2 linked regions of the Lepisosteus oculatus genome follow. The protein of the gene in region 2 purifies or fractionates together with the protein of the main gene of each other region. This does not show direct contact. Links are inferred from orthologs where the notes say so. Each region holds a gene or a part of one and is shown on either strand. Other genes may lie near its edges.

Region 1 (7,777 bases), on a different chromosome or scaffold from region 2:
CACTGACTTGAAATGTGAGCACAAATCTGTTCTGTCTGCCAACTGAATAATGTGGAAAGTGCACAGCAACTGATATTTCCAAAGCTTCAGGCAGATAATGGATAAGCTATTGATACCTTTTTAATATACCTAGATAAATTAAAGAATTGTTGAAACCGTTATGAATTATGTTTTTGTCAATCTGCTAAAAACACAGACAGAGACGCTGTGGTGACTCACAAATATATAATTTGTTGCATTAGCATATTTTTGTTCACATTCCTGCCCCAAGTGTGGAAGACAGGCTATAAATAAATCAAGTACAAGAAGCAACTTACCTTTTAACTCACAGCTAGTAGACAATCACTGAAATGTAATTTTCCTGCTTGACAAGCTAATTGTTTTACCTAAATCTGGATGAATATTTAGTAGTACTTACACAGGGCAAAGTTAATGCTTTTTGTACTTTAAATGCTGATCATGATGACTGATGAAGTTCAATATGTACAAAATCCAAGTAAACAAAAAACAATCTACTATGCACTTTACAGGAACCAAGACATATAGTCTCTGATTTCATTACATTAAGTTTAATAGCTGAACTTTAAGAATCATCTCTCAAAACAGCAATATGCAACTTCAGCCATACATCATTCAGTTGACATGGGGATTTGAATGCACTTGTTATTACATTATAACTCCAGTTTGAAATTCACTGATATGTTGCTACGTTTTACTATTAACTTTCGCTGCTCTCAATGTTTTTCATTTTACAAAACAGCCACTTCTCAATACTCCTAAAAAACAAGCCACTGGTGGCTAGCTGGTAACCACAGCTAACACACAAAAGCACAATCATCCCTTTCCCCCATACGACATCAGAATAAAATTCCTGTTAACTCAGAAATGCTAAACCTTTTCAAACAGTACAACCCTTTCCATTAAAAATAGATTAATTCTACAAGGTCTTTGTATGTTAACGGCCTTACAAATTTAGTTTTCCATATTGTTTCATTTTTAATTTTTAATAAAAAACAGTTTTGTTTGAAGAAATTCAAAACACTCAACAAAGACAAACCTAACTTGAGGATTACCGGGGTACAGAAGTCACTTTGTGATTTAAGCTCACAACATAACCAGGTGTACGACATAATGAAGTTTAAAGATGTTCTGTACCTAAAATGTCATAAATTCCCTTTGCCATAAAACAATCATTTGGGATGACATAAATAATGTTTTTCTATTAACTGTGAAGGGTCTGTAACTTATGAAATTGTCTGTCTGCAAAAGTGCAAGCTACAAACTGCAGTATTTCAAAGAGATCAGAAATCATCACAGACATCAATGAGCATCGTTAACTGTTGACTACATCAAGATACCCTGTATGTGACCCAATAAAAAGTAGCCAAAATAAAATTGCAACTATATGTTACTTTGCAACAAAGCCAGACAACTGATTAGCTGTGTCACTTTGAGAACAGAGCATTAAAAGGATAGACCTGTGTGTCCTCCATGCAACATGGAAGTAAGATGCTAAGGGATTTTGAGTCCAAATATAAGTTGCAAAACACACGTACACTAGGAAGGCACTGTAGCGCAGTGGTTAACATTGCTACCTCATAGCACTAGGGCCCCTGGCTTCAATTTCTGGGATGGTAGCTGCGTGGAGTTTGTATGTGTTCCCCAATGTTCCCATAAGTTTCCTCCCACAGACCAAAGACAATGTAGGTTAACGAGATCCTGGGGATAAAAGCTGGCCCTGGTGTGAGTGAGTGTTTGTGTCTGTGTGTGTGTCTTGTGATGGACTGGCGTCCCATCCAGGGTATATCCTGCCTTCCACCGTTTGCTTGCCAACATAGGCTCCGGCTGCCATATGACTCTGTATTGAATAAAGAGGTTAAAAATGGCTGGATGGATGTGTATGCTGACCCCCATGAACACTACTTTCAATCTTTGGTCTCAGAAACATTTGGTGATGACATGGCAGGGTAAAATTTTCACAGAGGGCTTCATAAAATTATCTCAATTAACACACTGATCTACTCATACTGTTCATGAAGCAGCACTATTGTTCCGAGGAACCAATATGGTATCCTTCTAATGATTAATGTACTTTTCGTTGGGGCTTCTGGTGCAAATTGCATAGCAATGAAGCCCATTCTCACCATGACTCATAAGTTCCTATCAGAAATAGTCAGGGTGGACAGTCTGTGATGCCGCCTATAGTCAACTGAGTTAGAGAGAGCTAAGTTTGCTCTATGAGTGGAGGCCCACCAACACCTCCAGAAGAACTTCCTCAACTGCCCTATGAGAATAATAAAGGAAGATCTCACAAGCAATAATAAGCTTCCTTGTTTAGAAGATTAACTTATAATAAGTCTAAGTTTAGCTAAACTGGATTGTTCTGCAGAGCTATGAAGTAGCTGTTTAACACTCTAACGGGGAATATTTTGATCTTGCAGATGTGGTTTTGTTCAGCCACTCAGTGTTTTTGATTATCATTCTTTTGAATGTTATAATTGATTTCATAATTTTCAAGATAGAAACTAAACAGTATATACAGTACCCAACCCCTTAAGAAGTATACATGCAAATTCTAAACTGATGAGACCACTCGGACAGTTAAACCAGTACATGGAACTAGTCTGACAACTTCAGAAATATCCCAGTATTACCAGTGTTCCTTAAAAGCACATGTAAGAGAAACTGATTTACAGTGCAATAACAGTAGATCAAACTGTAAATACAATGTGTGGGTCAGAGGCGTCTTTGTGGGGAGGGGGGGGATAAAAGCTCTGGAAAAAGAACATGTGTCATGAGTAAAAATACTGTTTTAATCCATGATATCCGAGGCAGGTCAGCATTACGAAATGCTTACATTAAAACCCAGAAAGATGATTACGCGAGATTCAACCACACGTAAAGAAAAAACATTGTTCGACTCCAGGCTATAATTCATTAAAAACGTTTTACTAATGTACAGAACTATAAATTTACACTGTAATAACCAGTGGTCTCAAAGAAAAAAATACTCTGAAAATACGACAATTATTAAGGCCCTACGTAGGCCGCCAGATCGTTCCTCGTCTTTTGTTTATGTTAGTAATATGTCCAGACGATCTCGGAGTTAAGTATATTTCTTTATAACTCTGGTTTTTGTTCATTCAAACCCATTCGCACCCACGTAAATGTTACTTGTCCAGACAACCTACACAAGAGTTTTTAATTTCTTTCTTTTCCTGGCCGAGGCCTTGCCGCTTACGAACAGCCTCGGTCTCGATTGAACAGATATGGCCAGGAAAGGGCTCTTAATCCAGATTCAGGATCTAGACTGAGCACGGCATCTTTGTATGTTGTGCAACGCTTTCACTGACGTTTACACAGCCCGAGTGAGCCCTAGATAAAGTGATGCATAGATTTAAATCATACAATTTAAAATACAAATCATGGTTGTAAAACAACAAATGAGATTAATAAAAGGTGAGCAGCCACCTAAAGCGTAATGGCCTTTATCTGTATACGTAGGTTTAAAAAGCTGTTGAGTGATCTTCCATACGCAAGGAATTAATTAAATCTGGGTCGTTTAAGAAGGAATTCTGTCGGTCCAGTTTAACTAGATCTACAACGTCCTCAGCTTTACTAAGAACGCGTCTCGTATCATATATCTTGATCATGTCTGCACCTCTATAAAGCTTTCTTGTCAGGACAGTTTGCTTGAACAGACGTATTTTCAGAGAGAAGAAGCTACGTAAACAAATGTTTTACACCCAGTGAGGTGACATTGTGTTGCAATGCAAAGTTTCATTTTTTTCTCGCGATCGCTATGACGGAGAAGTCGGCTGAATAGACCACACGAATTTTTAATTGTAAAAAAAGTGACACGTAAATATTTATAATTAACACATCGTAGTATGCGTTGTATTCACTCACTAGATCTCAAACATTCATTTTGCGCTTCTCTCGCACAAAGAGGAAAGGGCATGGCTGGCTTTTTTAAACAAAAAATGGCAATTTGTACAATTACAAAACGAAATGGCCTCTGAACCCCGTTTTCACTGCTTGCATCACAAGAAGAAAAAAACAGGAAAGCAGGAACAGGATTCGAGATGACAATTGGAATCCATATTTTTCGCGAAACTGTATCACCTCCCCACCTTTATATTTCAAGGTCCTCGCCTTCAAACGATCCCGTAAATACACTACACCAACGTTAGTGAAGGCTTGATAGACGATTGGTATTACCTATTTGTTCCAGTGTTGTAGTTGTTGTTACAGACAGTGCAGCAGCTCCACTCTCTCAGCTCTTACCTTCACATCAGCTGAGGGACCTGCAACTGCAGTATACCTCCGCTGAAGCGGCCCCCCTTCTTCCGCCAGGAACTACTTTAACTTAACAAGGAGAAAGGCAACTTTTATTCAACGTTTAAGGGCGTTTAACATTAAAAATGTAAGTATGAGAGTCCATCTTTGGCCTCTTTAATTAAAGATAACAGATCTATTATTCCTTTTAATCTGCGCTTAAAGTGTCTGAGAAATATCCCTCCGCAGGGTCATGACCCTGTAATATTAACAAACTGTTTATTTGCTTTCTGCGGTTTTTTTACACCTTGTCAGTGAGATCATTTACGTTTAATTAGATACCCCGTAAATGCATGCCTTTTCTATAAAAATCCAACAAATGTTTATTTTTTATTTTATTTGTTTTTTATTTTAGAATTCTAAAAAGAGTGGTCCGTTGTCCCTTTCGTTGCCGTGGTAACGACAAAGCGTCTAAACATGGCGTCATTGCTGGGAGAAACCGTGTTTGAAACGAGCGGCCAGGGTCCTGCACCTAACAAAGACTTTTACCAGTTGCTTGTAACAAAGACTGATGTAAGTAATATAAATGTGACTCGCAAAGAAAGTTATCGCACTGTAGTGTATTTTGTTGCTTATCTTGCACTTAACGTTTAAAAACAAAACATTGAGATGAGGAAGGTAAATAAACATCTGTACAGTTTGCTTCTATTGGGTTGTATGAATGTGTTTGTCTGTATATTTTATTAACTTAAACCTTATCTTTCAGATTCATGTAGTTAATTACTTTGAAAAGACGCTGTCAATTTGACCATTTCTACTAGTTTGGTTCCTATAGTAAAACCAGCTGGATCACAGAATCTTATCGAAGTTTGAAACATGTTTTGAAGGGTCCATGGAATTGGCTTCAACATCTTGACTGAGATGTGAAGACAGGCCACATCAGTGTAAAAATGGTGCTTTCTTTTTCATTCTTTAAATATACATCTTCTGTCCTGATTTATTGCTGAGCTGGATGTAACCCCTTGGGTTAACTGTTGATAGTTTTTAAGATTTGCAGCCTTGAATGAACCACCTGAACAATTTCCATTTTCATCCAACACTAACGACATTATATTCCTACTGTATATAGTATGTCTACATTTCACATCCACTTGAAACCAGGTGTATCTTAGTTTCCAAGCTGGAATGACTAGAAGCCTGTTTTTGTTTCTTCCACCAACAGTAGAATAGGCAAAATTGTAAATGTCTCTGACGTTTTAAACATTACCAACATCATTGCAGTTATTTCCATCAATCTTCACAAATGTGGTGAAGCACTGCAATGAACTACTGTTAGGGGATGTTTGCATGCAACAGATCAGTGCTATGCCTGAAAGCCAGTCTTTGCACTGGCTTCCTGTCAAATTCTGTGTGGACTTTAAAATCCTCATGCTCACCTATAAGGCTCTGCATGGCTTGGCACCTCAGTACCTGTCTGAACTATTATCGCCCTACTCCCCACCTTGCAACCTTCGCTCTTTTAATTCTTTTTTCCTATCTGTTCCCCAAGTCTGTCTACATTCTATGGGTGACAGGGCCTTCTCCTGTTATGCCCCCAAGCTCTGGAAAACTCTCTCCAAGGATATCAGAGAGTCACCTTCTCTAAACTCCTTCAAATCCAGACTCAAAACCCTCTTCTTTAGAAGAGCCTTTACTTAAGAGGTTCCATCCTATATACTACTATAGTATATATATATAAGTAAGTATCCTACTATACTTAGAACCACCATCCAAAGTCTCCTCTGTAAATCGTAATTGTGTTTTATCTTGTGTATTGTTTTTGTCATTCTGTAAAGCATTTATGTAAAATAAAGTTTAACATTATTGTCTCATGATACACCTTCACCTTCAAATGCAACTCCTCTATAAGCATTAGACCAATTGAACTTTGGTGGGTTTCTCAATAAACATGAGCTCATTCAATTGTGGTATTTCTATGCATTTTCAACAAATGAAGGGTGATGTGGACTAATCACTTTCCACATCAAAAGAACTTTTCTAACCTTAGTGGGGCTATAGCTGTGTGAAGGGAGTGATATTGGGGAAATGTGGTTATGTTGGCTGCCATGTTGGATTTTGTGAATTTTGGAAGCTTTTCAGAACTCTTCTTCTCATGAACAGTGAATGGAATAGCTGTGGAAATTTGTAGTTTAGCCCTCTCGAATACACTATTGATTCTATTTTAGACATCTGTTCTATTTTAAGATATCTATTCTATTTGAGACATCACATGATGTTCAACATGGGCCCAATGACCTCTTTCACCTCATCCTCTAGGATTTCTTATGCATTTCTGTTTTCATACAAAATTAACAGCACAAAGTGCACCCTGCTAAGTCTCTGCTAGATCATCTAAAGAAACACTTAAGAGAAAACCTTGCGCAGTGAACATAGAAGGATACAGACTCCTAAATTACTGCTTCTTTCATTGTCCCAGAGTGTCTTTTAGGTCCTTCAAAAAGTTCTCATTTACTGTCCATAGGGATGGACATCTAGTTTCTTCCACAAATATCTGTCTTCAGCATTGTTCACCAAGTTTAGTGTTTAATCTTCCCATTTTACAGCAGTTTTTTTTCCTCTACAACATAATTATTCAGCCAAGTTAATGCTTAGTTTTTTGGATTTTACATTTTTCCCTGAAATAGCCAGCACGTTTAAATTTAAGAATCATGTTTCCTCTGTATTTCAAATTTGAATGATTTTAGATTGATTCGTGCCATCAAAGACACCTTATTTGAGAGAATATTAATGAAATAAATGGTCTTTATTTTTAATACATTTTAATACATCTTTCTGCAGTGATATCCTCCAAAACAATGTGTTTTTGATATATGTTGTTATTTTATAAGAATATTGAATTGATATTTTTCATTTGCTATATAACTCAGTATCTTCTTTATTCTGGATTGATTGCTGACAGTTTCTGGAATTTGTGGGAGATTGTATCTGGGTAAAAATCTTAAATGTTCTTGATGTACAGTATGTTTTGTACAATATATATCAGTGTGTAGACATCTGCAATGTATTGTTCTCAAGCTTTTCATTATACTGGAAATTGCATATATAAATTCTATATAAAGGAAATTCTATCCCTTAATTGGCATGTTCGGAAATAAATATGCATGAGTTGAAATCAAGAATATTTAGTCTCAGTATAAATCTGTCATTAATTAGCAAAAGGGTCAATTGTGGTAAATGGTATATGGCTAGTGTCATGATTAAAGGGTTAAATCTCCAGAGAAGAGGCAGTAGACAGTCTTTGTTCATCTTAGAATCCCTTTTTACTATAATAACATGTGACAGCCGCTGAAATATAGGATGAAATGTGTCTATGGCAACCAGTACATGGGGAAATGCTAATGACAGGTCATAGTCCGCTTTGACAATATTGAATGAATATGAAATAAGATAAATGGAGAATATCTCTACTTTTTTTTGTATGTTTTACTTTTTACTGGGG
Region 2 (7,657 bases):
TTTAAATATCAAACGCTGAGAAAAACTGGAATGGCTCACGTCCAAATAATGTAAGCAGTTCTTGAAGAAAGGCAGCAATTAGAAGAACTGTTTCCATGTGTGACTACCTTTGTGATTCCTTTTCCATTTTGAACAAATCTGTTCAATTTCCTTCTGTATAGATTATTAACAGAAGTTGAAATTGTTTATCAAATTAATAATAGTTCTGACGAGATAAAAGACTGACATTTTACTCTGGTTACATAAAATAATCAGAACCTAGACTCAATTATTTGGATTTTTTGTTTGTGAGCCAGACCTCAGTTATTAGCTCACATTTTCACCAGATGAATGCAGATGCAGCTTCTAGGATAGCTTTTGTCTCTCATGGGGAGCTATGGGGCCCTGCATTCAATTCCTGGGGTGCTGTCTGTGTGGGGTTTGCATGTTCTCCTTGTATTCACATTGCTTTCCTCCCACAGTCCAAAGACGTGCTAGTAGGTTAAGTCTCCTGTAAAACTGGCCCTGGTGTGAGAGGGTCTGTGTCTGTGTGTGCACTACACTTGACTGGTGTATCCTGCCTTGTACCCAATGCTTCCCAGTAAAGGCTCTGCTCCACCATCCTGATATGGATAAGCAGTTATTTAAATCATTGGTGGTGGTGATTATGGTTAATTCATGGTAAACTCACACTTGTATAGTGCAAGAATAGCTACATCTCTCCACAGAGTATTACACCCTATCACATTTTACTGGTCACACGTAAATCAATTTGTAGAGACTTCAAAGTATATGTGACATTTGAGAAATTAAAAAAAGTGAATTTGTTTAATTAGGAGAGGAAGGCTGTCAGGTGTGGTCATCACCCCAGTTTGGGCATTCACCCTTTATGTGTGCTGTTCCTTATTCACTCACTTGATAAACCAAGAAACTGACAGACAGTTCATGTTCTGGGAGTCAAAGCCACGCCACACCAACCCAGGAAAGTCAATTCCATATGATCCATCTGCAGGGTTTTCAGACTATAGTGGCTACAGCATGAGAAATGGCTCGAGGAACCAGTGCATCAGTGCAATGACTGCAGCCCATCGACTGCATTTGCATGATCTGCATACTTCGTGGGGTAATGTTGACAGCCAAGAGGTGAAATCGCCATCCTCTGATCCAGAGCACAACTTTGGTGGTGCTGAAGAGACTAGTGGAGCCATTTTGCTCTTCACAGACCTGGTGGTAGTGGGTGTGTGGAAATGTCGGGGTGAGTGCTATGTTTATTGTTGAGTTTTTCAAGCCAACCAGTGGGGTGGTGAATATTTGAGGACTAGAGTAGGAACCTCTTTCAACACAAGGACACCTCTGGTGCAGACTAAGGGACACCTTACTTCTCAGAGCTACTTTGATCAATTCTTTCCGTTGCAATAATAATAAAAAACATTATGTTATGTAACGCCTTTAAAGGTGGTTCTCAAGGCGCTTTACAGAACAACGGGAAGATTAAATACACAATGAGGAGACGGTAGATGGGAGTACTGAATACGGTATATGCAGAGGGGTATATAACAGAACCAGTTAAGTAAGAGAAAGGTTTTGAGTGTAGATCTGAAAGATTTTAGGGAAGGTGACTCTGATATCCTAAGGGATAGAGTTCCAAAATTTTGGGGAACAACAGGAGAAGGCCCTTTCACTCATAGTGTGTATATGGGCTTGGGGGACAGATAGGAGACCAGAATTAGAAGAGTGGAGGTTGCAAGGTGGGGGTAGGACGATGGTAGCTCAGACAGGTACTGAGATGCTAAGCCATGGAGAGCCTTACAGGTGAGCATGAGAATTTTGAAGTTGACACTAAACCTGACTGGAAACCAGTGCAAGGACTCCAGGATAGGAGTAATGTGATCACTTGCACTTCTGTTATTCGCTGCTACAGGACGGTCTTGAATTGTTGGCTTTTTTCACAGAATGACAGCACATCGCTCAAATTCCTATGGTACCCCTTAACGAACAGGTGAGATCTTGCCATTGTCATCTTTTTTCTCCTGTTCTGAGCATCTTTTGACATCTGTGGGGAAAAACAATGTCATTGACAGGAGACAGCCCTCCGCTACTTGCTGAGTTTGCACAGGAAGAGCGAGAGAATATCTGCTGTATAAGTCAACACTGCAAGCCATGTTTGCATTAATGTGCAATGGAGTCATACCCGATAACTCGCAATGTTTTTTTTACACTGTCACGTTTAAGACTGAACACTTGTCATGAGTACCTGATCTGTAATCATTGATCTGGTGTGTGTCTAAAAGTGTTCAAGATTCACAAACTTGTCGATATTCTGTATTCTTTCTGTAGGTAATTGTTTGCTGTTTCACTTTGGGATTTCTTGCTGTTTCACTTAAGGATTTCAAATCTATGTTTTCCTTTAATAATTCTACTTGGGGTTTAGAAATCTAAAAGGATAATATATGTGGAATAAAAATATGGTGGTGTGATCCTTACACATTTTGAAGATTACTCCTGCCATCTGGTGGCCAACCGGCCTACATCTGTCTCATGTTCCAAGTGTCTTAAAAGTTGAATTACGCAATTATTACTAGAAATGTGGATTCACACTTAATTATGATTCATTTAAAGATTAACCCCAAAGATTATAAAGATTATAAACATGAATAGAGTGTGAAAGAAGTGTTTTTATGTCCATATCACATTAAATAGTAGAAACTTGATTTTCTTATTTAGACTTAGACATTTTACCACCATGTTAATGTATTCACTACCACATTGACTGTTTAGATGCTGAAAAGCATTATTCATTTTGCTGTTAGGAATTTTGGCTGATGGCTTACATCGTCAATTCATTAGCACTTCTGAAAATACAAAATATTTAAAGAAATATATTTATTCTAGAGGGGATATTGGTGAAAGTATCGTTGAATCGTTTTCTAATTTTTGATTGTCAAATTGGGTACAAAATTCTTATTTTGTCTTACAGATCATTCAAAGAAATTCACTGAGATTATAAAAGAGCACTCTTACTGAAATGATTGAGATAAGTGACCACATAATTCTTTATCACAGGGACAAGCAATATATCTCTAGTAGGGCAGGTGTGTCTAGTGGTTAACTATGTGTCTTGGAAATAGCAGCACCTGAAGAGCTGGAATATTGTTGATGTGGTCCTATTAAGTCAATAATGAGCTGATTTAGGATAAGATCAGAGATGGAATAAAATCCTGAAGACTCACCAACAGTCCTGCACCAGGATTGGCCACACCAGCAAACATAATTATCTAGTTAAGATAGTTAAAAAATAAATCCATCCATTTTCTAACTGCTTCTTCTAATTCAGGGTTGTGGAAGAGCCAGAGCCTATACCCGCAAGCAACAAGGGTACACTCTGGACAGGATGCCAGACCCTCGCAGGCAGGCAGACAGACACATACACACACTCACATTCACATCAGGGCATGTTTTCCAAAAAACCAATTAACTTACCAGTGTGTTTTTGGACTGGTTTTGGAGCACCTGGAGAAAACCCATGCAAACCCCACGCAGATAGCATCCCTGGTCTGGGCTCAGTGGTCTGGGCTCAGGGCCTAAGAGCAGCAAGGCAGCAATGCTAACCACTGCACCACTGTGTCACCCAAATACAAAATAAACATCTTGGCTTAAACCGGAATTGTCTCTTTTTTGGAAATAAAAGTAATCTGAACGTGCACTGGTACTGGTATGACATTCTTCAACAATAATGGGGCATTGTTATTGTTCACTTTTAATCCCCATACACACAACAGAATAATAAAATTAGAAATGTCAAATTAATTTCACTCTGTAGTGATAAGGCAAGTGGCAGGAAGAGCTACAGGTGAACCTAATCAACACAAATTTCCTAGATATGAAAAAAATCAGAGGCAACCTATAACATCAAATTAGTTATTACATCATTATACACATAACATTATTATAATGTATCCAAATCTAGTTATCAGTAACAATATAATTTATTTTTTAGCTCTCATCAGTGATTTACGGGGTAGATAATTATTTATCTATATGAATCAATCCCAAATAATACAATGTTTGATGGAATAAATCAAAGGACTCAGGTTAAAAAGTGACTCAACTCAAACAGTAATATATTTATAGCAGTATTTTTTTTCGACAAGTGGCAAGAATGATCGGATTATTTAACAATACAGCCGATATTTTACAAACTCAAAATTGAAAGGATCAGAAAACGCAAGACCAAGAGGTTTCGTTTTGAAAAGACACATCACTCCTCCATTTACTGCATATTCTAGAATAACGCTGATTGCAGTCTGGGTGATTGCCTGAACCATAAATAAGAAGATATTTTAAATCAGAAAATCTAAAAGTAAAGAAGTAATATTATTTTATAAATAGTCAAACTGGTAATGTTTAAAACTAATGCAACGTCAATCAAATTAAAAAAAACATAGACCGCCGTGACATAAATTAAACCGGCAATATCAGAAGACAGCTAACTTCGTCGTCTTTCGCATACAAAAGCAACGGATTATAGTAGTAGTTGCTGTATTTGGGCCTTGCTATCGTGTCGTCTTGTTTTTGTGAAATAATACCATATTCACCGTAAGTCAGTAGCTGAATTGATATGTATACTATACGTGTTTTGTTGTTTTTTTTTATTTTAAGCAACCTCTCAATTTATCTGTCTGGCTTAAAACAACAACTGCTTACTGTAATGAATTACTGTTGCTAAGAGAGGCCTTTCTCGTGAGGCGCTTTCTTTATCGAGAAACGTTCCGTGTTGACGTTTAAATAATTGGCTTTTTAAATTCAGATATGTTATATAAAAAGTTCTATTATGGATTTTTAGCCATAGTGGTGTGTTTCTAAATTAGCGAAACCTTGGGTATAAGTGGTGGTAACGATATTAATGGCATTCTTCAAAATGCTAAGGTAGAAAGCTAAATTGGTTGTACAAAGAGCAAAGGGTAGTCTTTACATTATTTGTATAGTGAAACCTGTAAAGGCATATTTAAAAGACCTTCAAATTGGTCTCTTCTGTATATTCGTGAGCTCAGTAATATCGTGTCCGCTTAGTCTGTTTTGTGGCTTCATTACGCTGAAAATCATGCATCATCATTATGACAAGAATGATTTTTTTTTACGTACACATTCAAATCCGTTGACAAATAACTTAATACTGAAATAATGGTAGTACTCAAACGTCTCGATTACTAAATATGTTCTGTTTACTTAAAACATAAGCCGTTTCTGTCCAGTATTGAGGTGCTTGGGGCTAAATACAACATTTAGTTTTAGCTAGATGTCACAAAATCTCCACCATATTTACTTTTCAGATGCCTACTATTAAACTGCAGAGTTCTGATGGAGAGATATTTGAAGTTGATGTTGAAATTGCGAAGCAGTCTGTAACCATTAAGACTATGTTAGAAGGTAAGAAGTTCACATAAACTCCTGTGTATGACGTTTTCATTGTTTAAACTGTTAAAACATGAATTTACAAAACCAAAGGAGATTTGTGAGAGGAAAGAACTTCTCAAAGCAGTACTTTGTAGTACTGAATTTGTTACTGTTAAGGAAATATTTTTTTTTCCTCTCAAACATAGCATGTTGCTGTAGAAAACAAGGGACTGTTGTCAGTTATCAAGAATTTTACATTATTTTGTTATAGTTATTTTGAATAACTGAATTTTGGGGAAGCATAATGGGCCTTAGTTTAAAGTTTTTTAGATAAGGGTCTGAGAGGATACATATAAGCTATATTTTTAAGGAGAGTGTCCTAGTTGTAATATGCTCTGTTCACTTTTTATAATCTGCAAAAGAAATAAGATTTTTTACTGTTGAGAATTGTAGTGTACAGCTAGAAACAAGTTTATTTTTAGTGGATTATGTAGAGGATTGCATAAAAGAAAAGCTTGGAAGTTAACAGGTTTATTTCTTCAAGGACAGAAGTTTGTTTTACCTTTTTTCCCCAGAAGGGGAACTGTGAAATGAATAATTGCAATGGTTGCCTAGTCTGGTTGTGTAAACAGACCTTTGGATCATTTATGGGTCCTCAGAATTTTAGAAAACCTGCTGGAAGGTAGATCTCATTTTCTGACATTGATATACTGTGTTCGCTAATTTTGGCACAGACTTAGGCATGGACGATGAAGGTGATGATGATCCTGTTCCACTTCCCAATGTTAATGCAGCTATTCTGAAAAAGGTAACGTTTTTTATTTTCTAATTTTAAATACAGTATGTCTGTACATATGGCTAATAAAATGGTCTTATATACAATTTCTTGCATTAGGAATTTGTCTTTTCGTATACCCCAGCTTGCTCTCCATGAGACATAGAGACAGGGAAAAATGTTTGGGGGTCAGAGCGCAGGGTCAGCCATTTATACGGCGCCCCTGGAGCAGTTGGGGTTAAGGGCCTTGCTCAGGGGCCCAACAGAGTAGGATTCCTCTGCCGGCCACAGGATACAAACCGGCAACCTTCCAGCCACAGACACAGATCCTTAACCACAGAGCCACCGCACCACCCATGTCTTTCCACGGGATAGTTTCTCATAATGAAGTAGTGAGTGTAGCTATAACATTTCGGCTGGATGTTAGATTAGCCCGTAGTTCCAGGGAATTCTGTTTCTTTGCTATGTTCTGGTATGTACTGTATGAAATGTATCCATGCTCCCTTCAGATAATTACAATTGAAATTAATAATATATATGAATTTATCTGAAAATTCCTTTCCGATTCCTGAAAACTTGTTTTTCTCCTTTTAATTGTTTAGGTGATTCAGTGGTGCACTCATCACAAAGATGACCCCCCTCCTCCTGAAGATGATGAAAACAAAGAGAAGAGAACAGATGATATCCCTGTGTGGGATCAGGAGTTCCTGAAAGTTGACCAGGGAACACTTTTTGAGCTTATCCTGGTGTGTATTATTAATTCTTCATTGGGTTTGAAAAGTGTGAACATTAATGTCTTTGTAGGTTATTTCAGGTACTTAATTGTCTAAGTGTGTGCTTAAGAGTTGGTAATAATTAGTTAGAAACTCAATAAAATTAGATCACTAGGCTCCTTGCTTTTGTTGTAATTTATAACAGCAGTGCAAATAGTTGTCCACTGAAAATATAATCCAACTTAGTGATTCAACTGTAAAGCACAAATTGGTTTCTTCTGCTTGTTTGTATGAGTGACTTGTGTTCTGTAAAAGTAGTTTTACTTGTAAGGCTGTTGTGAAATTCTTGGCTCTGATGTGGCTGTTTTGCAATCAGTATAGCTGTCCCACTCCTGTTTTGTTATGTAATACATACTTAATTTGTAATCTGAGCACATTTGACCTTTGTGAACTAGCTTTAAATGCTTTGCATCTTTTTCCAGTACGTTGCTTTACAGAAGTCAGTGTCATCTTATACACAATCAGGAGTTGCAGTTTCTATTTTAAAGCATCAACAAATTCCTCACAACCTTCTCTCATAACTCAAATAAGATCCCGAAACAGAAGCAAAACCTTGTTTAATGATGCTTTTCCAATACTTAATCATTTTAACTTGGTATGACAGTAGTTTGAAATAAGTTACAATTTTGATGTGTTTATGAAGAAGAGATTAAAACTGAGTCAGCATCATATACAAGATGGTGTACATGAAGAATGTGTTTGGAAGGCTGCAAATTTCAGTTTGCAGTGGACCAAA

Evidence for each region.
Region 1: the proteins of skp1 (region 2) and fbxo36a purify together in Homo sapiens (affinity purification with mass spectrometry; 3 studies listed by BioGRID and IntAct, with this or other methods). This does not show direct contact. The link is inferred for Lepisosteus oculatus from reciprocal best matches to the Homo sapiens genes SKP1 and FBXO36.

What each region holds. Positions count from the first base shown.
Region 1 is NC_090708.1:16,106,214-16,113,990, reverse strand, and holds the start of fbxo36a (F-box only protein 36), read left to right. Parts: upstream 1-4,719; 5' UTR 4,720-4,755; coding exon 4,756-4,851; intron 4,852-7,777. UniProt on the Homo sapiens protein: Substrate-recognition component of the SCF (SKP1-CUL1-F-box protein)-type E3 ubiquitin ligase complex.
Region 2 is NC_090706.1:23,941,327-23,948,983, forward strand, and holds the start of skp1 (S-phase kinase-associated protein 1), read left to right. Parts: upstream 1-4,464; 5' UTR 4,465-4,575; intron 4,576-5,309; coding exon 5,310-5,406; intron 5,407-6,107; coding exon 6,108-6,181; intron 6,182-6,750; coding exon 6,751-6,894; intron 6,895-7,657. UniProt on the Homo sapiens protein: Essential component of the SCF (SKP1-CUL1-F-box protein) ubiquitin ligase complex, which mediates the ubiquitination of proteins involved in cell cycle progression, signal transduction and transcription.